Cricetulus griseus: one gene and its partners. Each later gene encodes a partner of the first gene's protein in a complex. Links are inferred from orthologs where the notes say so. Each region holds a gene or a part of one and is shown in the gene's direction. Other genes may lie near its edges.

What was found.
Region 2: the proteins of Snap25 (region 1) and Syt1 are in contact, whole or in part, in a crystal structure (PDB 5KJ8), measured with the Rattus norvegicus proteins. The link is inferred for Cricetulus griseus from reciprocal best matches to the Homo sapiens genes SNAP25 and SYT1. Residues at the interface, in NP_112253.1 of Rattus norvegicus: Lys40, Asp41, Ile44, Leu47, Val48, Asp51, Glu52, Glu55, Gln56, Arg59; in NP_001028852.2 of Rattus norvegicus: Cys277, Arg281, Lys288, Val292, Leu294, Glu295, Asn336, Tyr338, Asn340, Arg398, Arg399, Pro400, Ala402, Trp404.
Region 3: the proteins of Snap25 (region 1) and Napa are in contact, whole or in part, in a cryo-EM structure (PDB 6MDM), measured with the Rattus norvegicus proteins. The link is inferred for Cricetulus griseus from reciprocal best matches to the Homo sapiens genes SNAP25 and NAPA. Residues at the interface, in NP_112253.1 of Rattus norvegicus: Glu37, Lys40, Asp41, Ile44, Arg45, Leu47, Asp51, Glu52, Glu55, Gln56, Arg59, Glu62, Gln152, Asn159, Met163, Asp166, Glu170, Thr173; in NP_542152.1 of Rattus norvegicus: Lys122, Glu155, Glu156, Ser157, Asn158, Ser159, Ser160, Asn162, Pro196, Leu197, Leu198, Tyr200, Ser201, Lys203, Asp204, Ala234, Phe235, Ser236, Arg239, Ser268, Ile269, Ser270.
Region 4: the proteins of Snap25 (region 1) and Vamp3 are in contact, whole or in part, in a crystal structure (PDB 5KJ8), measured with the Rattus norvegicus proteins. The link is inferred for Cricetulus griseus from reciprocal best matches to the Homo sapiens genes SNAP25 and VAMP3. Residues at the interface, in NP_112253.1 of Rattus norvegicus: Asp147, Leu150, Glu151, Val153, Ser154, Ile157, Leu160, Arg161, Ala164, Leu165, Met167, Gly168, Ile171, Asp172, Gln174, Asn175, Ile178, Asp179, Ile181, Met182, Ala185, Asp186, Asn188, Lys189, Ile192, Ala195, Asn196, Ala199, Thr200, Met202; in NP_476438.1 of Rattus norvegicus: Ser15, Arg18, Leu19, Gln21, Thr22, Gln25, Val26, Glu28, Val29, Ile32, Met33, Asn36, Lys39, Val40, Glu42, Arg43, Lys46, Leu47, Glu49, Leu50, Arg53, Ala56, Leu57, Gly60, Ala61, Gln63, Phe64, Ser67, Leu71, Lys74.
Region 5: the proteins of Snap25 (region 1) and Vamp2 are in contact, whole or in part, in a crystal structure (PDB 1SFC), measured with the Rattus norvegicus proteins. The link is inferred for Cricetulus griseus from reciprocal best matches to the Homo sapiens genes SNAP25 and VAMP2. Residues at the interface, in NP_112253.1 of Rattus norvegicus: Gly131, Gly132, Phe133, Ile134, Arg135, Arg136, Asn139, Leu150, Glu151, Ser154, Ile157, Gly158, Leu160, Arg161, Ala164, Leu165, Met167, Gly168, Ile171, Asp172, Gln174, Asn175, Ile178, Asp179, Ile181, Met182, Ala185, Asp186, Asn188, Lys189; in NP_036795.1 of Rattus norvegicus: Asn25, Thr27, Ser28, Asn29, Arg30, Arg31, Leu32, Thr35, Gln38, Val39, Glu41, Val42, Ile45, Met46, Asn49, Lys52, Val53, Glu55, Arg56, Lys59, Leu60, Glu62, Leu63, Arg66, Ala69, Leu70, Gly73, Ala74, Gln76, Phe77.

Annotation. Positions count from the first base shown.
Region 1 is NC_048599.1:41,889,426-41,894,605, reverse strand, and holds part of Snap25 (synaptosomal-associated protein 25), read left to right. Parts: intron 1-1,987; coding exon 1,988-2,105; intron 2,106-2,284; coding exon of another isoform or gene 2,285-2,402; intron 2,403-5,180.
Region 2 is NW_023276806.1:146,593,023-146,598,202, forward strand, and holds part of Syt1 (synaptotagmin-1), read left to right. Parts: intron 1-4,089; coding exon 4,090-4,274; intron 4,275-5,180. UniProt on the Homo sapiens protein: Calcium sensor that participates in triggering neurotransmitter release at the synapse. May have a regulatory role in the membrane interactions during trafficking of synaptic vesicles at the active zone of the synapse.
Region 3 is NC_048602.1:10,771,150-10,776,329, forward strand, and holds part of Napa (alpha-soluble NSF attachment protein), read left to right. Parts: intron 1-288; coding exon 289-368; intron 369-1,929; coding exon 1,930-2,046; intron 2,047-5,180. UniProt on the Homo sapiens protein: Required for vesicular transport between the endoplasmic reticulum and the Golgi apparatus. Together with GNA12 promotes CDH5 localization to plasma membrane.
Region 4 is NC_048595.1:5,345,276-5,351,097, forward strand, and holds the start of Vamp3 (vesicle-associated membrane protein 3), read left to right. Parts: upstream 1-2,406; 5' UTR 2,407-2,599; coding exon 2,600-2,601; intron 2,602-4,464; coding exon 4,465-4,549; intron 4,550-5,822. UniProt on the Homo sapiens protein: SNARE involved in vesicular transport from the late endosomes to the trans-Golgi network.
Region 5 is NC_048600.1:82,959,443-82,965,414, forward strand, and holds the start of Vamp2 (vesicle-associated membrane protein 2), read left to right. Parts: upstream 1-2,229; 5' UTR 2,230-2,372; coding exon 2,373-2,374; intron 2,375-2,874; coding exon 2,875-2,995; intron 2,996-3,447; coding exon 3,448-3,606; intron 3,607-3,697; coding exon 3,698-3,749; intron 3,750-4,361; coding exon 4,362-4,378; 3' UTR 4,379-5,212; coding exon of another isoform or gene 5,213-5,223; 3' UTR 5,224-5,972. UniProt on the Homo sapiens protein: Involved in the targeting and/or fusion of transport vesicles to their target membrane. Major SNARE protein of synaptic vesicles which mediates fusion of synaptic vesicles to release neurotransmitters.

The DNA of each region.
Region 1 (5,180 bases):
TTTCTATCTGTATGCATGATGGTTCTTCATTTAATGACACGTTGATAAAAGCATGAACCGTGTCAACCAAGACATATAGGACATATAGGAGGCCAAGAAAAAATTTAAAGGTTTCAATAAAACACTGTGTCCTTTCCATTCCACCCTAGTCCTCTCACTCAGGTATTACATTTGATTCACCAACTGGTTTATTACGTTCTTAAAAGGAAACTGGAGTTAGGTCATTAGTTTAAAAAAAAATCAAGCTTGGCATGGTTGTTCTTACAATCGTGGACTTAGGATGCTGGGATCCATAGGAAAATCCTGTGTCAAAAAGTCAAACAAGCCAGGAAGAGAAGAAGGCAGCAGAATGGAAAGTTCCCTCAAATATGAGGAAGACGGGAGGAAAGTCTTCTTGCATGTAAAGATTTCCAGGACATTCCTGTCTCTGTGCACTCAACAGAAGAATGGCACCACTGTCTCTCCATGCTGAATAAACACTGCAGTGTTTCTATCAGTTTCTGAAAAACATAGCAGAAGCAGCAGAGACCTAATCAGTGACCATTTCTTCTTTAGTCCTGCCAAAGAGAGCAAACATAATCTTTTATTATCCAGATTTGTGCTTTCCCTACTTGAGTCACTGGTGAGCCTCGTTTAGATCTTACAGTGACAGTTTTCACATCATACACTTATGTGAAATGGTTTTCAGGTGATTGTGTAGGCCTTTAGGCTAGAAATGTGCTCATGAGTTTTACCCTAGGCATGTATGCCTTTACTTCTAGAGGCACAATCATCAATGCATGCATGAAAATACAGACAAAAGGAGGAGCAGGATGTAACTGGGCATTATAATTAGACAGCCAAGACATCATATTACACTTCTCCTTTAATGGTCTTAAAAGCTACTTGACAAATCCCCTTCATTAAACTTGCAGTTACCCTAACTTGATGACACATTTGAGAAATTAGTCAATTTGGTTTATGTAACCCTGGCAACCAAGAACTGATTCATTTTTATGAGTATCGAGCTGTGTTTCAGATGCACTAAACTCATCTTTCCTTGTAGCAATGGCTCAGTGCCATTCTGTGTGCCAATTCACTGCCCCTCCTCCAAAGAGACACACGTTCTCCTTGTTCAATGACCAGGTTAGTAGTTGGCAGGTCCACACCATAGACACTAGGCAGCCAGAGCAGAAGAATAAAATGTCTTTCCCAGCTTTTGCAGCAAGTCACTCACAGGGTAAGAAATGAATTGAAATGTTTTGGTACTTACAGTATTGTTGTTCTGATGTTGCCTTCTTTTCCAGCCTCTATGAATTAAATAAGGAAAACCAAGAACACACCTTTGGCTACTTCTAGCTGTACAGCCACTGCCGAGGGAAGAGCAGAAACTCATAACCATGTCTATTCCTGCTTACGGTTCTGTTGTTTGCCACCAAGAAGAAAACACACTCTATTTTCTCCTTTTATCTGGTTGGGGGCACATAACAGTCAAAAGATACAGATATTTTGAAATTGGAGCAGATAATCTTTCTCAAAGTGTTGAATGGGAGCACCTTAGCTATAAATTAACACCCTGTTTTTCTTTCTCTTGGGTTTCACTGGTGTCTTAGTCAATACACTGCAACTTCCCTGGATATACAAAATCAAACAGACTTTCTGATCTCATCCCATCATGTCTGAACTGCAAACTATTTTGAGCATTGTTCTTGTTCATTTCCTTCCACCCATGTCTATTTAGGACAGCAGCAGCCGTCTACAGCAATGCATCCTCTTGGGCAATGCATTGTAATCTCAATCTCTCTCTCTCTCTCTCTCTCTCTCTCTCTCTCTCTCTCTCTCTCTCTCTGTCTCTCTCTCTGTCTCTCTCTCTGTCTCTCTCTCTCCTTCTCCCCCTCTCTCCCTCTCTCTCTTTCTCTCTAATTCTGTTTCACATAGTCATTTCTCATGTTCTGTTGGAAACCCCAAAAAAATTCATTCCACACTATCATCCCTTTGTCCTAACCAGAACAACTCGATCGTGTCGAAGAAGGCATGAACCATATCAACCAAGACATGAAGGAGGCTGAGAAAAATTTAAAAGATTTAGGGAAATGCTGTGGCCTTTTCATATGTCCTTGTAACAAGTAGGTACTGGGTACCAGCTCTAATCTGTGGCGTCCAGTTTTCTTTCTTTCTTTCTTTTTCTTTTCTTTTTTGTTTTTCTTTTTAATGTCAAAGTGAATGTCTGAAGTTTTGTCTTTTTTTTCTTTGTCCTTTTCCATCTGCTTCATTCTGTGGGGATAAAATACTTGTGTTTAATCAGAACAACTGGAACGCATTGAGGAAGGGATGGACCAAATCAATAAGGACATGAAAGAAGCAGAAAAGAATTTGACGGACCTAGGAAAATTCTGCGGGCTTTGTGTGTGTCCCTGTAACAAGTAGGTGCTGCCTGCCTGCCTGAAGCTTTGGTTTTCCCAAGGCTCATCTCCAAGCCTTGACTAGCTCATTCCTGCAGGCTCATAGGCAGGATGAGCATGTGGCATGCAGAACAGATCAATACCGTCTCCAATGCATTCATCTCATAGCATAGATAATACTAGTGGGAATTACTGTTGATGCATTAAAAATCAGGCATACTACAGTGGAAGCCTCACTGTCGGCAATTTTTATTGATGAACGTTTCAACATTTTCCAGAAAGTGTACTTTGAGACAGAGGCACTTGGGGCACATTGTTTTCCTCAATCCCACAATGAAAATTGTAGATTTAGACAAGTCTTTTGGTAAGTGTGGAGGATTAGAAATGCATGTATCAAGGTTTCATTTTTTTTCCTTTCTCGGAAGTAAAAGAGACAGGCTAATTTGGCCCAGGTAAGCCTCTGCAAGTCAGAGCATGTGGCAGATTCCCTCTTGACTGCTCACCAGCTTCAGCACTTGGTCACGAGGTGCTATAGCCTCACCCAGTGCAAAGGCATCCTCATCTGTAAGAAGCAGCAGTCCCATCCTAAATTGGACCCATCTCCTCTAACTCTTCCTCTTGGAAGATCTGCCCGTACACTGGCTGAAATGTTGAAATGTGTAGATTTTGCATGCACGACATCTCCAAACATTTAACTGTTCTCAAGGTTCTGCAACGCTTTTTTGGAATGTAGCAGAAATGTGACATGTGGTTACAAAGATTTGCAACAGAAAGAACCCAAAAACTCAAGGGTTCTAGAAGATAGTCTCATTTGGCTGGCTAGCAGTGGGGGGAAAATGCATGAGTGGATTGCCCAACATGCATTTGGAAAATTAAACTCATTACCTGATCTCCCTCACCCTTCCCCCTTTCCCTTTTAAAAGAAGCCTTTTACCCAAAAGCTCTCCTGATCCTAGCTTTTAGAATAGAAATTGATGTCATTTTGAGTAGATTATGTGACCATTCACATCCTTTAAACTTTGAGGCTGATTTGAAATATCCCACTTCCTGTTTAGGAGGGGGAGGGGCTCATGGTACTAATAAATAAAAACCAAGTTAAAAAAAATCAAAAAGAGTGCTCTACGGTAAAGCCTGGCTAACTGGAATCCAGCTAACTGGAACCCTCAGCTGCAAAACACTTTTGCCCCCTTTCTGTTTTTAGCCAAAGAAAAGTGGGACGGGGAAGGGAGGGCAGTCAGAGCAGGTTTGAAATGTCTTGTTTTCCAGGACATCTAGCTCATTTGCAGTGTCTCAAGCAGTCTCTATTCTACTATCTCTACCTATGGAGAAATAAATAAGTGGTAAATTAGAGCTGGTTTGAAAAGGCCATCAGATATATCAATATAAGGCATAACTGTAGGAGGACTGGATTGTGCCCATACCCAAAGACTCTGAACAGAAAATTTGCTTAAGAATTTGAGAAAGATATTTACTAGTTACCCTTGAAACATAATTTTCCTCCAGAGTCTACTGTTCACTGGTAAAACCATAAAATTCTCCAAACTCTCACTCATGGGCAAGTATTCCAGTTAGTCAAGATTTGACTGTAAGCCCTTTTCAGAGCCAACTTACCCCACATTTGGAGCAAATGGCAACAGATGCACCTCCCACCCCCTCCATCAATTGTGTGTGAAGAAAGGGTGAAGGCAGGGCTCCTTGAGGTGGATCCTCAGGTTCTGAAGAAGTATGACCCCTACTAAATCCATGTATAAGTGGTCCCCAATTCCTTAATTCTAAAGAGACCCTAATTGAGCTTCAAAGCTTGAGTGAAGTGTTCCCTGATGTGTGTAAATAATGCTTTAAAAACCATGTGTCACAACGCAGTGGCTGGTGGTGCCCTGGACTCTCCGGGGGCTTTGCCCTGTCTCGGCATGTTTCGAAGGACTATGGTAGATGTACGGCCGTGATGTGAGTGTGTGCAGCGTTGTGGGTGCAGTGGTTTGCCTTCTCTTTGGAAACGCATATTTCCCTTTCCTTTGACTTTGCCAAAGATGGTATACCAGACATTTTACATAGCAGAAAACATCACAAAGTCCAAACAGCTTCTTATAACCAAAAAGAGAGAGAATGGGGAGGTGGGGTGGAGAGACCAACTCTCTTAACTATGAAAATTTGTGTTCTGGCCTTGTACCATTCATGGAGTGGGCCCATGCCCTGTGATGCAGTAAGTTGTGACAGTAAATTGTGGGAGCTGTTGAAATTCATTGGTGCATTTCCCAGTTTGTCACCATGGTTTCCTTGTCTCAGTCTACAAGGATTAAAGCCAGTTTAAAAGATGGCTTTGGCCCTCTAGTGAGAGAAAGAAGCGGGGGAAGGGATTAAATCTTGGTGTCTTAGAATAAAAACTGTGAAATGGAACCAAAGGATGTATGTTGTTCTTGGACTCAATAGCATGTGGTTTCTACTATGCAAAGAACCTAGAAACATCTTTGATTGCCTTAAATTACAACACACCCACCAAAATATGCTCTATATGTTTCTATTGGGCACAACAGGTATGCCTGGATTTTAAGTTTTGTTCCAAGGCAGGTCAGTGAAATGTAGCCCATGGAGACCACACTAGTTCCAAACCACTCTCCTCTGTCATAACCCAGGATAGTTTAAAGTAGGAATCTGTATGCACACCACCCTGCCCTTTGGCCCAACCAAGAAGCTAATGAACTGCGTTTCAAATCGTCACGAAGGCTATTACTGTCCTGCTAGTGCCTATTTCGAGAATGGTCAACTTCTGGAGTAGTTTGGCTTAAATGAGAATGCTTC
Region 2 (5,180 bases), on another chromosome or scaffold:
ATTAAGCCTTCTTAATTCCTTCTTAAAATGCATCATGTTATGTTCTTGGGGCTGAGTTTAGCAAAATCAGAAATTACCTTCACTTAAATAAAGCAAATGACATCTACTTTATAACACTAGAAAGTGAAAAAATAAACATGCATCATTAGACACATCATGCTAAATTTATAACCCAATCTTGAGAAGATCCTGCACATAATAGGTACCCACAAATGTGTTTGATTACATAATGATATATTTCACTATTCAGTTTATACCTACCTTCATGGAAGAGTAACCTTTCTTGGGGAGGGGAATAGTTCTTTTTTATTTTCCAATAACAGATCTAATACTGCAATTTTGTTTCAAAATGTTAACTAGTATTTTCATTGTGTCTATGTCAATATCAAGGTTCACATCACAAATACTCTACAAAAACCTAAGTTTTAAATCAGTAGAAAGTATGTTTCATGCATAGGGAAGGGATATATTAAAATGGTATCCAAGTATATACAGATTTAAAGTACTAATTCTTTTCAATGTGTTTATGCCAGTTTACTATACCACCCAATATACAGTCACACAGTCAATTACCTCACACAGTCAATAGTCCCAATGGAATTTAACAAATGCACCTAGTAATTTTATTTATTTTATTTAAAAATCTATCAATGCTAATATTTGTGATAAGTCTGAGAAGTAAATATTAGATAACTAAAAAGAAGAAAGAATAACATTCCAAAAATAACACACCTTAGAAACACATAGTGGTGAAATGAGCAGGGCCGTTCCAATGTCCTTAACCTGTTCACAGCTTCCAAGAACCAAGCTGCTCAAAGCACTCAGGGACTTTTTTCTGCCTGCCCAGGACTAACTCAAACTATCATTAAAAGTTTTTCTTTAGCTTAATTCTTATGTATCCTTTTACCTTTAACACAGGAAAAACTAATTCATTAACTAGAAAATTAAAAATAATATCCACAGAGTTTTCATGCTTGTGTATTATTTTTCTGCCGGAAGCCATTGAATTAAATGTTAAAATTCTGATTTGAAATTTCTTTTGTTGGTAGTTGGTAGAGATAAGCAGCCACTGAACACTGTGCCAACAGCAGTGTTTTGATGGAAGTGTATTTATACCAAGGAAATTGCTCCTGGCCACACTTTAGACAATTGTTTATTTGCTTTATTGGATTTTTTCTTTTAAAATGTCCTATTAAAAAGGCCTCAAAACCAAACATGACTTTTTCCTTTGTATCCTTTTTTTAATTTACACAGTTTTAACTGAACAACTTGAAGACATTTAAATTTCTCAGGATATAAATCTGTTGAGTTTTTCTATGTAACATTGAAGTGGTAATGAATAAAATTGTTATAAAGATTAAAAGAAATAATGTGGATAAAGTCATAGCACAGTGGTTGGACCATAATAAGCAGATTTTTTAATAATCCAAAATATGTTCCATGAGATTTGCTCATTATACCAACAATGAACTGAGTGAATTCTGAGGATAGTGTTTCTTAGGTAAACTTGCTAAATTTAAAATATTGCACTTCTCTATTCAATAGTAAAATTTAATGTGAACATTATATTCAAATCCATTTATTAAAAATAGATATACCTTTGCATTAGTATTGCCTCTTCCACGGATGTACAAAATAGCTAGAGTAAGGTTTTTTGTTTTTGTTTTTTTGGCTTTTTTTTGGTTTTTCGAGACAGGGTTTCTCTGTGTAGCTTTGGAGCCTATCCTGGCACACGCTCTGGAGACCAGGCTGGCCTCGAACTCACAGAGATCCACCTGCCTCTGCCTCCCAAGTGCTGGGATTAAAGGCGCACGCCACCAATGCCCGGCTCCTAGAGTAAGGTTTTTTTTCTATGTCTATCTAAAGGTGGTAGGAAATTTGAGGAAAATTCTAGTAATTATATTTCAGTAATTATATATTATATTATTCAATATTATATATGTTAATCTTCACTTAGATCAACTAAAAGCAAATACAGCAGTCAATAATGCCTTATTATAATTAGTAATTATATTATAGATTACAATATTCAAATATTATATGTGCTCAAATTAATCTTCACATTAGATCAACTAAAAGCAAATACAGCAGTCGTTAATGTTGAAGATACGAAGGTTGCATACTGAAACTTTTTCAGTGGTTTGAAATTACCCTCTAGTTGCACTCTTTCAGACTCCTTCCTGTGACCCCATGTTCCTCTCTTTAACTTTTTTTTTGATTAAATAATGTTCCTCTGCTCTTACCAACTATTTTCTTTGTGTGAACTTGTCAAATCATCTCAGTCTTATCTTTTGTAATTTACAAGGCCTTTATGTAGCTCTCTGAGAGACTATCACAAAAGTCCGACTGGGAGAATAATTTATGAGATTTCCAATGAAGGCCCATTATTAACATTGTCTTCCTGCATTCGCAAATGGCCTCCCATTCATGCATGGCAGGATTTTAACTCAGTCGTCAGAGACAGAAGTGTCTGAGTGAAGTCTTACAAATAATATCATTGGTTACATACGCTTGCAGTGGCTTTGGCTTTTTTAAAAAAAGCATGGACTGTTCAAGTAGGTTAAAGAAGACTAGGAAAACATGTCTTAGGATATGTACTCATCTCTACTGTTCACACAAGTATTTCTGTGGCTATAAACATGGTATCAAATGTGGTAAATTTATATGTCCTGGGTTATTATCTAATATTCAATAATATGCAAAGTGAATGTTCTTCACTACAAAGCTAGATGAAGAGAGAGCATGCAAGAGTGGGTTTTCTGTTTTGAAGAGAGGTTAGTTTTAAGTGTTTTTACTTTACCAGAGTACTCCTGACTTGTGTTCAACAATCATTGGCACTAATGATGTTTATGCGGCTCAAGGAAAATTATGCTTTTTCTTACTATTTCAGTGCCCAATGTCTTTTTCTTATTATAACAGATAAATCTAATTACTTCTGATGAATTTGAAGAGCTGTTATTTGAATCATGAATAATTCCATTCCAGACAAAGTTAGAGCTCAGATATGCCCATGAAACCTAGCTTTTTATCAGCCAGTTGGATGCTAAGTAAGGAAATATTTTAGCTCCTAGCAGTTGGACAACTATAATAGAAAACTCCTTGTGTGTATTTTTTGGTATATACTTTGTTACATTAAACAGAGCCTTTAAATCAACCTCTTCTATTATCTAGAACTTATCACTTTCTCCTCTCCATCCCCTGTGTGTTCTCACTGAGCACTGTTCATAGTGTCTATCTTTCTTTTGATATCCCTCTTTGTATATTTCATCTTGCCTAAAGTTTCTTGACATCACTGAATCCTACACCTTGAATATAAAGAAATGATAGCTACCAGTACTTGAGTTCCTACTGTGTGCTGGATGCCATTGTAAGCTATTTTAGTCTGTTGACTTTAATCAGCCAAAGGAAATGGGTGCTACTATATTCTTAACTTGCTAGAGAAGAAATCAGAAGAGATCAGTAAGCAATCAGGGCAGTCACGTAACCTCTACCTAGCCAAGCCCTATACATCTCTCCATGAACTACTCTCAAGGCACCAAATACTCATTCCTTGCCTATGGTTATACTTTTTACATTTGGTTTTTCTGTTTGTGTGATTAACTTCTGCCCCTTCTACCATGCCACAACATATTAAAATAGCAGCTAGTATTTGCTTGATGAATAATTACAGTTGACATGAATTAAGCTTGTATCATGCTGGTCAATGCATCTTAGTACTTAATTCTCACAAGACTCACTAAGGTACTTACCACTTTTACCTCTACTGAACAGATAAAGAAATAGACAAAGAGAGGATTTGCCGAAGATAACAGAGCTAGTAAAGGATGAGACCAGTGTTCGCACTCAGAAAACTGGCTGGAGAGTTATGCTCTGCATAAAGGAAAAAATGAATTAATGGAAAATTAACTTAGTGCGCAAGGGAGAGGTGATATGTGATGTAGACAGAGGTACAACAGTCCAGGCACAGGCCACAGAGGCGATAAAACCCATGGAACAAAGCACGGAGGACATCCAACCATAGGGATGGTTGTCTGCTGCATTGGGTTAACCAGTTCTATTGCTAATGTTCTTTTATCTTTTCTCTTTCAGTGCCACCGTGGGCCTTAATTGCCATAGCCATAGTTGCAGTCCTATTAGTCGTGACCTGCTGCTTTTGTGTCTGTAAGAAATGTTTGTTCAAAAAGAAAAACAAGAAGAAGGGAAAGGAAAAGGGAGGGAAGAATGCCATTAACATGAAAGACGTCAAAGACTTAGGGAAGACCATGAAAGATCAGGTAATGAACACACCCCTTATTTACCTAGTTACAATCTTCAGTTAAGTCACCAGTTAGGGCTCTGTTCTGTTATGCCAGATGCCCATGGAAATGAACAACGTGTGACTACTGTTGCTTTTGTAGAGATGCTTGTTAGTCCTTTCAGTCTCCCAAAGTGTAGTGGGGAGCAGTACAGTGGGATTTTGTCTGTCTCTTGATCACACACACACACACACACACACACACACACACACACACACACACACACACACACGGTAGAACTCTACACTAGCAGGTGTGGCTTCATGGGCTTGGCATAATAAGATAATTCCTGAGTGGGTCATGATCCTAATTAGTCTTAATAATAAAAAACCCAAAGTCAGATATCAAGATAGTGGGGTAAAAGCTGAAATATCAGAGAAGGACCAACCACAATCACCTCTTACAACTCTGATTCCTCAGATCAAAAGGGCAGAGCTTCTGTCTATGCCCCACCTTATCACGTCCTGTCTCAGTCCCGTGTTGTCACATCTGTCTTCTCTCTTATAGACCTCCAGACCTCTATGGTTAACTAGTGGCTAGTTCCACCCTCCAGTCTCCAGGAAAGCTTTATTTGTCAGAGCATAAACAAAATATCGTAACACTTGAGCAATTTTTATTCCATCTCATTAGCTAACCTTGATTGGAATTTAAAAAAAAAAAAAAAACTGTAATACAAGGTACCTGAGTGCTTTCCCTCCTGGACAGGGGCCCTTTCTGACTCATCCACTGCCCATGATCTCTTAAATAGCTTCATCATACTCGGTAATTACCAATATTGCCACACACTCAGCCAGCTTAGCCATCAATTGCCAGAAATAATGAGTTGTGTATGGTGAAGGGAGATAGGATCCAGTCCTAAAGGATAAGACAGAATTGAAGGACAAA
Region 3 (5,180 bases), on another chromosome or scaffold:
TCCTGGGGATCCCCCAGAGTGCTTTACAGCCTCCTGAAGAACAGGAATCTGTAGATTGCCTAGGTCCAAGTGGTCACCTACCACCTAGGCAGGAAGCAAAAGAGGCCACAGCGTCAGGCCGTGGAGAAGGAGTTCATGCCACCACTAACACCACCACCACTACACACCTTGCTTCAGGATGGGACTAGCCGCCTTCCACCGCACACTGCCTGTTGGCAGGGCAGAGTGTGGGTTTGCGTTCTGATAGCAGACTGGATGGCCTCTTTACCTCTTCCCTCTCCTTCCCAGGGGCTCATCCAAAATAGAAGAAGCGTGTGAGATGTATGCCAGAGCGGCGAACATGTTCAAGATGGCCAAGAACTGGAGCGGTGCGTGCCCCCAGCCCACAGGCCAGGCCCAGAGTGTGCCCTGAAGTCCCCTCTCCAGCATCAGGGATCCACAGCATGAGGCCAGTGGGATGCTTTGCCCCCTAAGTTGGGGGTATATGTATAGGGAGGTACGGTCTTTGTGAGGGAAGGAGGCAGGGAGGGCACCTACCAGGCCCCCAGATGAGATCTGTTGGGGCAGCCCATCACCTGATCTCAGAGTATGGCTTCCACTGTTGGCAAGGTACAGTTTTGGAGCTCAGGGAGGAGCTTTCTGGACATTGGGGGGGGGGGTGCAGAGTTTCAAGGTAGACTCAGTTATTGCCACATCCTGTGAGTGCAGTTCCCAAAGTCCAGCACTCCAGGGATGGTTATTTAACCACAGGTTGCTTTTCTGTCCCTCCCCATGTTCAAAACAGAAGTCTGTCCCCTGCTCAAACTATTTGGAGTTCTTAGAAATAATATGGAAGTCTAGCATTGGTATCCCAGCACTCCTGATGGTGGGGTAGGAGGGTCAGGATTCAAGTCCCTCCTAGGCTACATTGGAAATTTGAGATCATTCTGCAATAAAAAAGAGCCTTCCTCAGAAAACCAAAACACTACTGTAACAATGATGACTACTGCTACTGTTACTGATGATCTGACAGGGTTAGCCTGGCATTTGTCCCTAGGCCCACAAGGTGATCACAATCATCAGATAACTGTGGAGCAAAGCCTTTGCAGGCTTTGTGTGTCCTGCTGTGCTCAGGAGAGTGGACAGGTGGGACCTCCCATAGCTTGGAGGCTCCCACTCAGCTGGGACTGGAGGAGCATGCAAAGTAGTGCCTTAGCTGAGGTGGTATTGGAGCACCACCCACAGCAGGGAAAACCCTGCTGCCTCCCCTTAGCCAGTCTAGGGGAGGTCTGAGCAAAATGGTGTGGAGCCCATGGCTGCCTCGGGCATTAGCACTGTCTGCGCGGACTCTGGCTCTTGCTGTCCTCGTCCTGTTTCCCTTTCTAGCAAGGACTCAGACATAGCAGGGGTGCACCTGAGAGCTTTGGGGAGTTGTGGAGGACAGAAATGGGCTAGGAAAGGGAGCAAGTGGGAAGTGTCACATGGGTTGATCTCACCTGTGCCTTCCCAGAGCACATCCCTTCCCCCCCCCCCAATCGCCCCATCCCCACCTTTAGTTCAGGTTCTGGGCTTCCCTGTTCAAAGAGCCCAAGAGCCTGGGTGTCATGTCTCATGTATTTGCAGCCCTCAGCTCTCTGTCTGTCTTTCCTTCCTCTCTGTGGAAGTGGTGGCTCTGGAGGTGCCGGCAGAGGGGGGGGGGACATGGGTTTGGCACTGTGTTTACCTGGCTGTTTCTGTGCCCCTGGGCTCAGGCTTCCCCCGAGGCTGCTTCCTGACGTCCTCACTCTACCAGGTGCATACCACCAGGAAGCTCTGTGAGGGGTTCAGGCTGCTTTTGGGCTGGAGTGGGCTGATCTTGGCCTCTACCTGTATTCTAATTGTGAGCCTAATGTGCCTCTCTGGGCAGTGACTGCAACTGCATTGAAGCTGGGACGATCTGTTCTATTCCAGCTGCCGGGAACGCTTTCTGCCAGGCTGCCCAGCTGCACCTACAGCTCCAGAGCAAGCATGATGCAGCTACCTGCTTCGTGGACGCAGGCAACGCTTTCAAGAAAGCCGACCCACAAGGTAACCTCTGTGAGCCACAGCTGGCAGAGCAGCTGAGCACTGTCCCCACATCCTTGGGTCTATACAGAGCTGGGTTTTTCCAGTAGTTGACACATGATAGGCCAGGAGCAAAACAAGCCCCAAATTCAGAATTGGCTGGTCCTTGGCTGACATTGGCATCCTGCCCTCTCTCCCCACCCCCCACCCCCACCCTGGTGTGCAGCCCTCACCCCCTCCTGGGCTTCGAGCATTTGGTAGTGGGAGTTCCATCTCAGGCCCACTCCTTGCCAGGGAGCCAGGCAAAGCTGTTCAGTTGTCAGAATTAGCATGCAGAAGGAAGCAGGGAGCAGGGAGGGGGGCAGTCCCAGATGAACCAGGTAGAGCGGAAGTCAGCCTGACCTGCCTTCCCAGCACACCAGAAGGAAGCAGAGAGAGCAAGCCTGGAGTGAGCTGCCAGAGCCCAGTTCCTTAAAGCAGAGCCTATGACATAGGAGCCTGGTTAGGCCAAAGCACAGCCCATGGACCTCAGACTTGAGATTTCCAGGCTGAGGAATTTGCTTTTGGTATTTTTGTTCACTTATTTTTGTGGTGCTGGGAATGGAGCCTGGACCTCTGTGTGCTGCAAATGTGTTGTACATGTCCCCAGTTCTTTTTGGTTCTTTTTGAAAATGGTTCTTTTTGAAAATCTTAGAGCTACATAGATGACTAACTTTAAATTTCAGCACGCACAGGTATTTGTTTGTTTGTTTGTTTGTTTGTTTAATTGGCCATCTAAGCTAGTCATGGCAGTGCCTGCCTGTCGTCCCAGAGTTTGGGAAGTAGGGACAGGAAGATCAGACACTCAGCTATCCTTAGCTCTTGGCTACATAGTGAGTTTGAGGCCAGCCTGGGTTACATGAGACTGTGTCTCATAAATAAATCTTTAAAGTATCCAGGCTGTTTCTCTCAGGAGAGTGGGAAAGAAGTGACTGTTCTTTCCCAAAGGAGAGGCTTGGGGTCTGGGTGAAAGCCCACCTCTGAGGAGAAGAGAAGACAAGCACCTCGGTCCTCCCCAGCATCAGTGGATGTCAGCCGTCATTGTCACAGGACCACTCCCAATTAGAGAGATGACTGTGGTGACTCTGTCCCTGGGCTGACTGGTCACTCCTGTTTGTTTAGCTATGATGTGTGGCTCAGGCCTGACAAACAGAGAGGGACGGATGGCCTTTCAGCCAGGACTTAGATACACCCAGTGACTCAGGGCAGTCCTCTCCCCCACAGAGCCGTCCCCACACTTTCCCTTCTGCTCCCTGGGGAACTGGTTGGCCTGGAGATGCTGCCTGGCATCTGTGCCCTTCAGCTGCTGCTCCAGCCGGAATGGCCGGGAGGACTTGTTCCTAGGTGGCAGTGGATGCCAACCTGCAGGATGCCATAGCTGCCCCTCCCAGCTTGTGGTCATGTCCTTTTTCTCTCGGGACCCAGGCATGGGCCCCGGCCTCAGCAAGTCCAAGCTGATGGGAAAGTATTGAGGGTGCTGCAGCCAAGGGTGTGAGTGAAGGTAGAGAGGGGCCGACTTGCCTCACGGGGAAAGCACAGTTGTGAGGGGAGCGCTTCTGGTGTTAAGGGCTAGGGACTCAGCCACGTGGCATCCAGCGCTGCTGCCTTGCTGCCCTGCCCAGTCACAGTTCCACATATGAGGGGAAGGGGGTGCATTTGCACGGTTGACAGCTCTTCTGCGGGGCCAGTCAGGGCTCACAGAGAAGAGTGACCAAGCAGGGGAGGACATGCCCAGGTGGTCTGAGCAGATCACTCCCCCTCCTCCAAGGAACCCAGTGGGGACTTGTGCTGCCCCACTACACTTCAGCCTAGCCGTCACTCTGCTGTGTTCTCTCTTCAGTGATAGCACACACCTACTGTGAGCTGTACACAGCAATTCATTCCTGGCATCCAGAAGGGGGCAGCCCCTGGCACCAGAGCCTCCCTGCATGGCTGGGTGCCCTGGGAAACAACTGGATGACCAGTGGAGGCTTGAACCCCCAGTTTCTTCAGGAAGGACCTCCCTTAGCTAGCTGTGAGATCCCCTGCCCTGGGGTCTGGTCCATCAGCTCTTTAGGAATCTCGCCTGAGCTGCTTGCCTGAGGCCTGGGAATGTGACCCTTTTAGAGCAGGAGCTCTAAATGAGCTGTGAATGTGCACGGGCAGGGAAGCAGTCTGGCTTCCTATCTACCTATCCCCACCGCCTCATTGGAGCTCGTGGTTTGTCCCTAGTTTGTTGTGGACGGTGCTTGCTTAGATCTGCATGTGATCAGGGGCTTCAGGGTGATGCGGAGGTGAGCCGGGCTCTGTAACTCCCTACCTGCTCTGGACAGGCTGAGCACAAGAGGGTGGGAATAGACCAAGGGCCCTACTATTTACCTTCAAGGTTTCACTGAGGCCTGTGGCATCAGATAAGCCCTGTGGTAAGAGCAGGCCCGGGTGTCAGCTGGCAGCCTACTACTTTCCAAGCTGTTCCCAGAGCAAGGGGCCAGCATAAGAGGACTAGGCCCTGTGAATCCATGTTTCTCCCCCACTGCCGTGGCAGGGACTGTCCCACCAATAGAGCCTATGCCAACAGACCTTGGCTACCGAAGTCTCCTCAAGAAGTAGCCTTAGCATCCTCATCCCAAGAGAGTCCAGTCCACTCTCAGCCCGGGGGCAGTCCTGGAGCCTTCCCAGCACAAGCCCTCTGGCCCACCTGGACCCTCAACCCCGTGCCTCCCCCAACCCCCATCCTGAGATACATTAAAGTAGTTAAAAGATACTGAGAGCTCGTTTCCATCTGCTAGAAAATGCCTCCCACTCACGCCTCTCTCCTCCAAATAACTTGTCCAAAAAAAAAGCCTTCCCCAAATTTAAAATCTTGGAAGAGATGGTACAACAAAGGTAGCCTGGTGCCATCCTAGTGTTGGATACAGCTTGTTATTTGAGCAGCCAGCAGGGTCCCTGCTGTGTGGTTGAGGGCATTGAGGAAAGGACAGTGCTCTTCAGCACTGGGGATGCAGAGCCCCCATGGAGGGGCCCTAGTGCTCGTGGCATCCATCCTTCTCTGCCAGAGAGGCCAGGCAGGGCAGTCACAAGGATAGGACCTACTCAAGGTAGAGCCTCCAGGACAGATGGTGGGCTTGGTAGCCTCTGCC
Region 4 (5,822 bases), on another chromosome or scaffold:
TTCAACCCTCACATTTATTTTTTTAAATGTTTCACATGCCACATTATTAGCTCAATAAGTTAGAAAATTCTGGAAGATAGAGACTTACATAGAATTAGGAAGTTCTTATGGAGGGGATGGAAGTAGGGTCAAAACCTACCAGTACAACTGTGAATTCTAGGTGAGGTTGAAGCGTACTTCCACTGAAACAAAGCATTTCTGACCACCTTTTTTGATTGCGACTCTTAATTTTGAATATAAGGTGATAGGTAGGCGCAGCTTTCTTGGATAATCTGAATTCCCAAGTGCCAGGAGTAGGATTTCATTATAAAATTAATAGCTAATCTTATTCTGTCTCCTGAAGATTTAATTGCTATCCTTGTTACCCATTCAAAATCAGCTGTACTGTGTGAATGAAATAAAGACATTACGACGAACCCCTTTCTGGCTGCACGGTCGCTTATGGCAGTTCCACACAGTAGTTGGCGCCCAATGGGGGGTCCCTGAGACTTGCATGTAAAACTAGTCTAGATGTCTTCTTTTTTTGTAAGTTTTATTTTTGTAACTGTGCATGTAAAGCATCATTGACTCAATGGATCTGTTGAAGAACTCAGCTGCTGGAAACCATGCAAAATGTTTTGAATTGCCCTTAAAATATGGAAAATGTTTTCTGAATGCTTTATATTCTTTCTGCTGTAAATTAAAAATGAAGAAAATTTCCCCATATTATCTGTGTTTTGCTTTAACCTGACCTGAAATCCAGGGTGTTGAGGTTGAGATCATAGTTAGAACTGGAAGTTTTGTTTGTTTTTTTTTTACCTTCCACATGATGTGTTTTCCTGCCCAGTGTTTCACTTAGAGCCACTTTCCCAAAGGACATGCTTTCCACCTACACTGCCTGGTTTCTCAACACATCAATCATTTGTCTTAAGTGCAGTTACTTGAAAGATAAGTAAGGATCTTACTGTGAATTCACCTTTTCTCGTGTACCCTGGGTACTCCTAAGTTCCCTGTTTAAGCTCAAGGATGACCTTGAACCTCTGACCGTTTACCTACAACTTCCAAATGCTGAGATTATGGGTGCCAACAGGCTGGGGTTGTTTGTTTGTTTGCTAGTTTGTTCTTTCCAGACAAGGTTTCTCTGTGTAACAGCTCTGGCTGTTCTGAAACTCAATCTGTAGACCAGGCTGGCAGGGAACTCGCCGAGATACACCTCAGGCTGGGTTTTATGTGGTTCTGGGGATCAAACCCAGGACTTTCATGTGGGACAAGCCCAATACCAACTAGGCTATACTCCTCAGCTCTACCGAGTAGTTGTTTTTCGTTTTTTTTTGTTTTAAGCCCTTTTCCGGCTTAGCTCACTTAGGTCTCCCTTCTAGGTACTTTATCATTATTCCGGTCCTCTTCTCTGCAGAGTTCTGCTCGTCTCTCTAGGAGTGCCTCACTAGATGTACCTCAGAACTAGTGCCAGACGTTTTCACACTGAGTCTCCCAAGAGGAGTCCCTGGTACTTTCTGGAGCCCGCTGCATTTAAATGCCTTTGTCTTGCCTGTCTTCACTCTTGTTGTACTTGAGCCCAGCCCCACATTCTCTAGTTCTGTGCTGCACCTCCACTTAACCTAGAACGCGCCCCCCACCCCCCGGCCCCAGCTACCACTCAACCCAATACCCACTCAGGTGGCACGCTCTGCTTTCCAGCACACGTTAACTTTCTGGAATTACCATCCTGGAGTGGAAGACAGCTTGGGGGTTTTCACTTAGGAACCCACCAGCTGCCCTCATCTGGTCTGCTTAAGCATGTTGGATTGCATTGTAGCGGATACTACTCACCTCATTCGACCAAAAGTCCGGGGCCAGAGAGTTACAGAAACCAAGAGAGTTCTCAACGTCAAGGATCCCTTCAGGGATGGTGGTATCCGTGCAACGGCAGACACCTGTCACCGCTAGTGAGAACACGGGGGTGGGGGCTCCAAACGGGCTTCCTCCCGCCCCTTACTTACCTTCCTGGCGGAGGCACTTGGGTTGTGTCCCCAGGACCACTAGGCTACTCTGGGGCGTTAGCACGCACGCCGTTTCTAATGTCGTCACCACCCAGAGACGACGTAAGCAGGCCCAGAGGGCTGTGCAGCGCACCGGTTCTTACTCTAACCTGCCTTTCCAGGGTAGAGACAGGGCAGCGGCCGCGACACCCGACACCGACGAAGCTGCTGCTGCTGCTGCTGCTGCTGCGACGCCCGGGCGGCGAGGAGCCGGTCCAAAGGCGCAGGCGCCGCGCCCTGGCCCCGCCCACTTGTCCATCGAGAACGCCCGCCCAATCCAGCACCGGCGCTGCTGCCGCGCCCAGCTCTGGCCCCGCCCACTCGGGTGGGCCAGGGAGGAGACGGCCAGAGCGCGGCGCCTGGGGCCTGACTCCTGCCCCGCCCACTTCCGGCGCGCCCTCCGCGGCGGCGGGCTCCTCGTCGGTTCCTGCCCGGCCCCTGCTCGTGACGTCACCGCGGCCCCGCCCATCTCCACGGCCTCGGCCGCCGGCTGCCCCAGTCCGCCGCCGGTCTCCGCCGGTCTCCGCCGTCTCCGCCGGTCTCCGCCAGTCTCCACCGCCGCCGCCGCCGCCGCCGCCAAAATGTGAGTGACGCGCTGCGCCGCGCGGCCAGGCGGGCTCCGGGGGGCGGCGGCCGCCACGTCTGACGAGGGTCCCGCCCGGGACGCGGCCGCTCGGGACTCGCACTCGGGTGGAGGCCTCGCGGGCCTGCGCGCAGCGCCCTGGGCCTGAGGTGGGCGGCGGCCCCGCGCCGCGCTCTGCCCTCGGGCGCCGCGCTCTGCCCTCGGGCGCTGCGGGCCCAGGCGTCCTGCCGCGACGTCCCCGAGTGCTCCGCGGCTGGCGGGCCGACGCGGAAGGGCGAGGGTGGGGCACCGGCTTCCAGAGGAAGCGTCCGCCACGCCCCGAGCTTCCTTCCCCGAGGTCCCCGAGAGGGGCGGGGGCGGCCCTGGGCGCTCGCCCGCCGGCTCGCCCGCTCGCTCTCCCGGTCTCTGTCGGCGCCGCGCCGTGCCCAGGCCCAGGCGGTGTCCGCGGAAGCGCTGCCGCGCCCCCCGCGGAGCTCGGCCGTGGGTTTCGCTTCCGCCTTAAGCAAGGAACTCTGTTGTTTTGAAGTTGGTGTCTAGTGGTGACGTTCGCAGGACTCTGGTGACACCGCTTAAGATGCACCCGGTCGGACTGCTGTGCGAATGGCAGGGCCCCAGAGCCGGTCAGAGAATTAAGCTGCACCTGGCTACACCCCAGCCGGCTGGCTGCGTGCTGGTTCTGAATGTTACCGAGGTGAAGGTAATAGTGCCCTCTTCAAGGGGGTGTTCGGACTCAGAGAGAAGCCAGACAGCCGTGAGAAGTGTCGCGTCCTGCTGACAGACACGGTGCAGACTGTCGTGTGGCGAGGCACACCTTAGGTGCTGGCTTAGATACAGGGAAGAGTGAGTCGTTACGGAAAGTGGGCATGGGTGAATAAAGCATTCGGTGAGCCTGTGGAGGATGAATGGCTTTCCAGCAGAGAGAGAATTGCTTTCAGCCCGCCTTTCCATTCACACACACCCCACCATGCACTTGGGCTCTACATCTCCATTTTGGCTATTTTGTGATTGTTTCCAACTATAAGACAGTTCTTGCCACAACAAAAGGATCAGAAGAATACTGAGTGCCCTTAAACGTTTGTGTGTCTTTTAAGAGGTTTTTGGTTTTTTGGGTTTTGTTTTTATTACATAAATACAGTTACCTGCATGTGCCCCTGCAGGCCACAAGAGGGCACCAGATCTCACTACAGATGGTTGTGAGCTGCCTTGTGGTGGCTGGGAATTGAACTCAGGTCCTCTGGAAGGACAGCCAGTGTGCTTAACCTCTGAGTCATCTCTGCAGGCCCTAAAGCAAGCTGAAAGAGAGAGAGAGAGAGAGAGAGAGAGAGAGAGAGAGAGAGAGAGAGAGAGAGAGAGAGAGAGAGAGAGAGAGAGAGAGAGAGAGAGAGAGAGAAAGTAGAGGTATTATCCAGTCTTGGGATCATGCACTTCATTGACACAACAAAAGTTTCAAAGTTTGGTCACTGGAACAGTCTTGGGAATTATTGAGGGATCATAAAAAAACTGCATTGGTGCCTTTATTTCTTACTGCAGGACTGTTTTTACTTTTGTTTTTTAATTTCAGTATAAGGAATTAGTAAGTCCAAGTCCCAGCGTGAACAGGTTATACACACACACATACACACACACACACCATGGTATATGTTCGAGGACAGTTTCAGAGATCCTTGCCTCTCACCTTATTTGAGACAGTGTCTCTTGTTCAGTACTGTGTGTGTCAGGCTAGCTGGCCCTCAAGTGCCCAAAACTGTCATGTCTCCTCTCACTGAAGGAGCACTGGGGTTACATATTTGCCTTACCAAGTCTGGCTTATGTAAGTGCATTGGATATCATAATAGACTCATGTTTGTGCCTTACATCTTTCAGGTCCACAGGTGTGCCTTCAGGAAGTTCAAGTGCTGCTGCTGGCAGTAATCGAAGACTCCAGCAGACACAAAATCAAGTCGATGAGGTACTGCTCTAAAATTCTAAACTGTGGAATTTAAACAAACCCGGGTATTCTGTGGGATTCTATCAGAAAAAGCCACTGGAGCTGGAGAGATGACTCAGTGGTTAGAACACTTTCTGTTCTAGCAGAGGCTCCAGTTTGGGTTCCAAGTACATACTTGGGCCATTCAACTGCCTTTAACTCTGGCCTCCAAAGGCACCTGTGTGCATCTGTGCGTGCGCACACACAAACCCTTAACAATTTTTAATGTTAGAAAAAGAAAAAACATCAATGTGTGAGTATAATTTTGACTACATCAGAAGTCTTTCTAATTGTGTGTTTAGAGGACTTCAGTGAAGATTCTGTGAGAAATTCAGATCAGTTTTCCATATTTTTTTCATATTCTTTTTTTTAAGCTTTTTTTTTATATGAATGAGTGTTTTGATTGCATGTTCTAGAAGCTGTGTTTTAAGCACAAGGCAAACTCTTCCTGGTTTCACTTTTCTATTATCAAATCACATACCTAAAACATGTGAACCTGTCCCTGAAAGCATGTCCCCAGAGCCCCAGAGCCACTTCGTAAGATAGGGTAATCAGATTGTTTAAGCCAGGAACAAGTCTTTCTGATCGGGTGGGATATGTGTCTGTGTCTGTGTTCTGTAGCCAGGTTTACTAGTTACCTAGTATGGGCAAGTCTCCGTAGAGCTTTCTCTAGCAGTTGCTGAAGGACACATAGAAAGTGGAACTTCTGTAGCCCAGTAGTTCTCTCTGGATTCTTGACCTAGAGGACTCTTCTGGCATCTTTTGTTTGGGTGTGCACATGTAGAAACACAGTGAAGACTGTCAGAACCTTCAACTGATATTCCTGTGTTCTCTTTTTTTTCTCCATTTTTTTATTTAAATTAGAAACAAGATTATTTTATATGTCACTCCCAGTTCCCTTTCCTTCCCCTCTCCCCTGCCCCCCCCCCCCACTAACACCCTAGATCAGTACTTATCCCTAGTATAGGAATGGACTTTGGGAGCCCATTCCACATAGAGGGATACTCCTTGAGCCTAGACACACTGGAGAGGTCCTAGGCCCTGTCCCAAAGGATATGACAGACTCTAAAGACCCCCTATGGAAGGCCTCACCCTCCCTGGGGAGCATAAAGCCTATGTTCTGTTTTTTAAATAACAAATGTTTTTATTTCTCCAGTAACTTTAAAAATGTGAATATCCTGTGATTTAGCCACAGGCTTTACTTCTAAGTAGCTTCTTCACTGGGCCTCAGTTCCCTTTGAAAGCTCATACTCTT
Region 5 (5,972 bases), on another chromosome or scaffold:
AAGGCATGTGCCACCACCACCACCACGTGGCAGCTTAACCACTGAACCATCATCTCTCCAAGCCCCAGTCTTTCGCTTGTTTTGAGACAGTATCTCATTTGGCAGACCCATCTTAAACTCTGAATTCTCCTACTTTACCGTCAAGCGCAGGGGTTATGAACATGCACCACTAAGCATAAAAAGAGCTTCAAGAACTGGGCCTAGCAACTCAACTGTCAATCCCCTGAAGCAGGCAAATGTAGACGAGACCCTTTGAGATTAAGGCTCTCCGTTATCCAAATACTGCCTGTGCTTCGGCTCAAGTCTGAGTCTCAGTCGTACTGTTTGCAGAAAACATTCTCTACACATTTCCAGGTGAACCGGGTCGTTCCACCGCAGCCTCCTCCCACCCCCAGCATTGATCTAAATTTAGAATTTCTTAACACCGCAGTGGAGATGGGCTGGGCTGGGCTGTACAGTGACAGTTCTCTCTCTGAGTCCTACTGGGTCCTTTCCACTGTTAACTCTGCTATTGCTGTCCCCAGAATCCCCTGGGAAGAACAACTTTCCCAGGGATATGACTAGGCCTAACCTCCCCAGGTTTGTCTGTGACTCTTGTCTCTTCCATAACCTCTGCCCTTTGCAATTGGCTAGACAACATGAGTATCGTCCCTAAACCAGAGTCTGAGATCTTACTGTTTCCTTTCCAGTCGAGGCAGAGCTGGGCTGTGTGGGGGGCTCTGCTTACAGTTGCTCTTTTCCCACTCTCGAGGATGTTTCCTATCTAGACACTAAAACATTTAAACTTGAAATAATGGAATTTGGCATCTTTGTTCTCTGATTAGAAAGGGGGTCTCAGGGACAGAAAACTAGAGCCTCACGGCTGATCTGAGACCCCCCCACCGAAGCGGCTCTTCTCACCAGCTCAGCCTCACGAAGAGCAGGCTCATGGCTTCTCCTGGGAGAGGGAGGCAGCCAAGAGCGAATCCGGCCCCAGCACACACTCCCCTGCTCATTCACCTCCCCCAGACAGCTGGGAAATAACACCTCTCACGACACAACCGGTCCTGGGGCGGCTGCTGAGAGGGGGTGGGGCACTGCTGCAGCACAGGAGGATCTCACACCCCGGAGGCCCTGGAGTGGGAGGAAGGACGCCAGACCCTGCCTGTCTTTGAGATTAAGGCTCTTTTGGGGATGTAATAAATACTCCCACCTCAGAGTCACTAGTCCTCCCCTAAAGTGCCTCCTTCACCCCGGAGGCTTGCTAAATAGACAGCTGGCTCCCTGGTCCTATCTCTAGATGTAGGATGGGAGTGTGTGCAGCTGCTGTGGCTGTTTAGCGTACTTAAAATGGAGCAGTCAGGGATGGACCAGGTCTAAGATAATCTCCTATTCTATTGTCTAGATCAAGCCATTGAGCAAATATTTATTGACTGTCTACATGTGTGATGTATTCAGTTGGTTCTGTCAAGGCTGGGCAGTTGACCCCAGTCGGGGACCAGCCTGCGCTTACCAGGAGGCACAGCACCTCCAGGCAGCCTTTGCCCTTCCTGGAGTCTTTAGTTTGTCTCATCTTTGTGGGGCCCCCTCCAAGGACACCTGGTCTGAACTTTATCTGTGAGGAGGGGCAGCTTTCACAGTTCTTAGTGTGTGTATGTTTGTGCATGTGTGTGTGTGTGTGTGTGTGTGTGTGTGTGTGTGTGTGTGTATGCGTGTGTGTGGGGGGGGTCGGGGGGGTTGTCTTCTGTTACTCCTTTTGCTCATACCCTGCTAGGAAATCAGAGGCCCGAGACCTCCCTTGAGCCATTCAGTTGCAGGGTGATGATGATGGGTGAGGTCAGTTCTCACAACTCCCCAACCCCAGCGTCAGGATTCCAGTTGTCAGTATTGCCCTGGCCGCTTCTCATTTTCCACTCTGAGGGAAATCCACCCTTTCCAGGAGCTAAGGGCGGGTCACCAGGTGTTGGGACCAGTTGTAGGGCGAGACCTTAGGCTGTGTGAGGTAAGGACCGGTGTATCAGCTTCAGGGATGAGGGAGGGTGTAGTTTAGGGGTGAGGTGTGGGTCTCGGTTGTGGGTACCAAAAGAGGCAGGTGGCAGATGCCTTGGGGGATGGCGGTGGGCTTGCGGGCCAGGCCCACATCGTAGGGTCGACAGAGCCGACTAGACGACCCCAGCCCCTGCAGCGCCCCGCCCCGCGGTCCGCTAGCGACGTGTCGCCTGCCGCGCCCCGCCCCCGCCGCAGTGCCCGGATGCGGGTGACGTGCGGCCGCCATCTTCCAGTCCCGGGCAGCCAGCGCCAGTCGGAGCCAGTGCGAGCCGCCGCGCGCCGCCGCCGCCGCCGCCGCCGCCGCCATCACTGCCTCTGCCAAGTCTCTGCCCGCTGCCCCCGCCATGTAAGTCGGCCGCCCGCCCGCCACTCGCCACCCTCTACCTTCTGCCCCGCGCGGGCCGCCACCCCGAGGAGTGGGCCGGGAAACACGGGGGTCCCGCCCGCGCCTCTCGTGCCGCGGACCGGGCTGGTGTCCGTGACTGCGCTTGGACGCCCGGAACCGGTCCCGGGCGGTCTGGCACGGGCGATGGCCGCAGGAGGGAGCGGACCCAGCGTCTACCCGCCCCGCCCCAGCCACCATGGCTGTCAGTCATTTCGGGTCGACCCCGGGCAGCATCTCTGAGGTCGCTTTCCTTTAACCGGCGGGGAAATTGAGGCATAAGGAGGGTCTCTCAAGGTCACGCAGCTCAACCGCAGCGGGGCCGTAGAATGGCTGGGTTTCCCATCGGGTGGCTTTCCTCCCGCAAGGGAGGACTGGAGGGACTATGGATGGACAGGTGGATGGGTGGAGCCCCGGCCGCAGGGCCCAAAGGCCCTGAATCTTAATCCGTTTCTCCTCCGTAGGTCGGCTACCGCTGCCACCGTCCCGCCTGCCGCCCCGGCCGGCGAGGGTGGCCCCCCTGCACCCCCTCCAAATCTTACCAGTAACAGGAGACTGCAGCAGACCCAGGCCCAGGTGGATGAGGTGAGTGTGTCAAAAGTGTAAGATGATGGGACTGGCAAATAGGTGTGGGAGCCCATCTTGGCTTGAAGGTGATGACAGTTTTCACGCTTGTGGGTTTTGGGTCAGAGCCCTGCCTTGTCCCAGCTCCGTTTCCCTGTCAGCATGCACTTGGAAGGGCTGTGGGGTGATAATCAGTTGTGCTAGCTTGGGGTGTGCCAGCTGGGGCAGGTGCGCTCTGGTCAAAGATGAGGGTGTTGCTGTGGTAGCTGAGGTGTATGGCTGCAGCATGCCCCTGATGTGTGCTCCTTGCATGTCCCCAGGTGTGCTAGGCATGTTCTTTGTATGTCCTTGGCATGTTAGCCTGGAAACATCGGGGTGCATGTTCCATGTGTGGCACATGGGCACGTGTTCAAGAAGTGCCCTCCTTGAGGCGTGCCTTGGCACACCCCCTGCCTCGTGGACCCCTCCCCCAGGTGGTGGACATCATGAGGGTGAATGTGGACAAGGTCCTGGAGCGGGACCAGAAGCTGTCCGAGCTGGATGATCGTGCAGATGCCCTCCAGGCAGGGGCCTCCCAGTTTGAAACAAGTGCAGCCAAGCTCAAGCGCAAATATTGGTGGAAAAACCTCAAGGTAAGGGGGACGGAGATGGGGACAGGTAGGAGGGCCAGTGGGTGACTGGGGTGTCACCATTGGTCTCATGGACCCTCCCTCTCACTCCTAGATGATGATAATCTTGGGAGTGATTTGCGCCATCATCCTCATCATCATCATCGGTGAGTGGGGCAGGAGTGGCCAGGGCCCTTTCCCGGGAGAGGTAGAGGCTTTCCCTGTGGATTCTGGGTTTTGAAGGTCATTAACCTAGTTTTTACTCTTCAACAAAAACACATTTTGCTGCTATTGGCAATTCTGATTCATCAAGAGCCAAAGCACTTGGCTCTTGTCTAGCCTTACTTTGCCTAGTTCTGGATAATTTCTGTTAAGATTTTGAAAATAGGAATACTGGGTGGGACCCCCGGCACTCTACTAAGAACCATTTGGGCCTCAGAGCCCAGTCTGGGCTACTAGAACTGGGGAGCAGGAGACAGTAAGGGTTGAGGGGCTCGGACACCACCAGGAAACCAACTATTTCACTATTTGAGCATTTGTAGTCACATGCCCAGTAGATTAAAAGTTTTGTGCCCCTTTGTCCTATCATGGAGTTTACAGGATCTTAATACCCACTTATCAAGTCCCTTTGCTATATAGATGAAGAAATGAGACAGAGAGGGGAAGGGATGTCAGACAGTGGGGGAGTGGGGAGGTTTGGAACAGGGCCAGGCCTGACACGCTGCTTTCTTTCTCTTTCTACCCCTCTCCCTCGTCCTCCTCTTACCCTCTCTCCACAGTTTACTTCAGCACTTAAATCCCTGAGGAGTCTGCCCTGCCTAAGAAGGGCCTCTCTCCCACCCCCAGCCGTTCCTCCACCTCTCAGCCATATCTTTCAGCCCCCCTCCCTTGGATCCGTGTGTGTGTGTGTCCGTGTGTGTGCCCCCTGTAAATAGCCAGCTGTTATTTATACATATATAATATTATATATATTTGGTCTGTTTGTAGTTTTATTACTAGAAGATTTTTTCCGGTTGTCCTTAACACCCCTTCCTGAGGTTCCCCTCACCTCTCTCTCTCTCATCCTCTGTCCCTTTTCCTCTTCTCCTGATAGCCCTAAGTCCCTTCATTTGCATCTGCTATGCAATAGCCCCTTTTCTTCCCTTGGATTTAACTGACCCTTCCCCTAGCTTCCCTAAACAATTCCTGACCCTCCCAAGACAAAAAGCAAACTCCACAGAAACAAACAAACACTCCTACCTGTCCAGGCTTCCCTAGGTTGCATCTTTGAATCCCTTGGAAAGCTCTGAGACTGGTCCCACTTGGTCCTAAGAATCCCAGAATCCCAAGGTTTTCTGGGAGCTTCCAATATATTAATTAGCTTATCACTTGCATAATGTCCTTTTAGTTTCCTTTCTGTTCCACCACTCTTTACTCTTCTGTTTTTCCTTTCTTTTCTGAAGAGTTAGTCTCCATTGGTCCTCTAATCACACTTCATTTGCACGACATTACCTGCAGGTGGTGGGGAGCCTGGGCTTTTGGGGAACCAGGCTCTGGGCCCCAGAATTGCCCCCTCCCAGCCCCTCTAGTCTAGTTTACCTCCTTTACCCCATTTTCCAAACCTGTTGTACCCTCCTCTCCCTCCCCCCAGCCGGTGTGTAAGTGTCTTGGAGTTCAGTGTGTCATGATGGACCAATAATTCTGCCACTCGGAGTCTCTCCCTACATTCCTGCTCCCCAGTTTTCATGTGGGGCACTCAACTGACATTCCCAGGGGGTCTCCCTCCCTCCCATCTGCCTGATTTGCCTCCTCCTCCCACCAGGAGAATTGGGGATTGACCACAATCTGATTCTTTGAGGAGGGGTGGCTCCAGTGTGTGTGTGTCATCACTGCCTTGGGGAGGAGTAGGACAAAATAGAATCCCCCCAATTCCTGCCTGAAACCTCTGGCCTCATCTTGCTAGAGGTCGGACTGAAAACTTTCCTCCCCAATCTGGGGAGGGGTGTTGCCCCCATCACTGCCCAGCTCCTTTGACTGCCCCCCTGTATTCAGGGCGGGGGTATTAGTCACTGCCAATATGTGTATGGGACTTGCTGGATGATGGGGATCCTGGCCTTTCTCCAGGGCTGTTGAGCCCAGAGAGAGAGGGGGAGAGAGAGAGAGAGAGTGCAAGCTATTCCCTTTTTGGGTGAAATGACAGAGGAAGGATCTGATCTTTTTAAATGGCACAGTTTTAGGGGTCTGAGGGTATACAGCTCCTTAACCTGCCACTGGGGTGGGGAGTATCCCCAGAGTCTTCCCCCAAAAGGTTTTCTGTGTGGAGGGGAACCAAGGAGATCTAAACTGTGGTGTGAAAGGGTAGGAGAGATGCTGGGGGTGGGGGTGCTTGTGTTCTAGACCCCCAATATTAT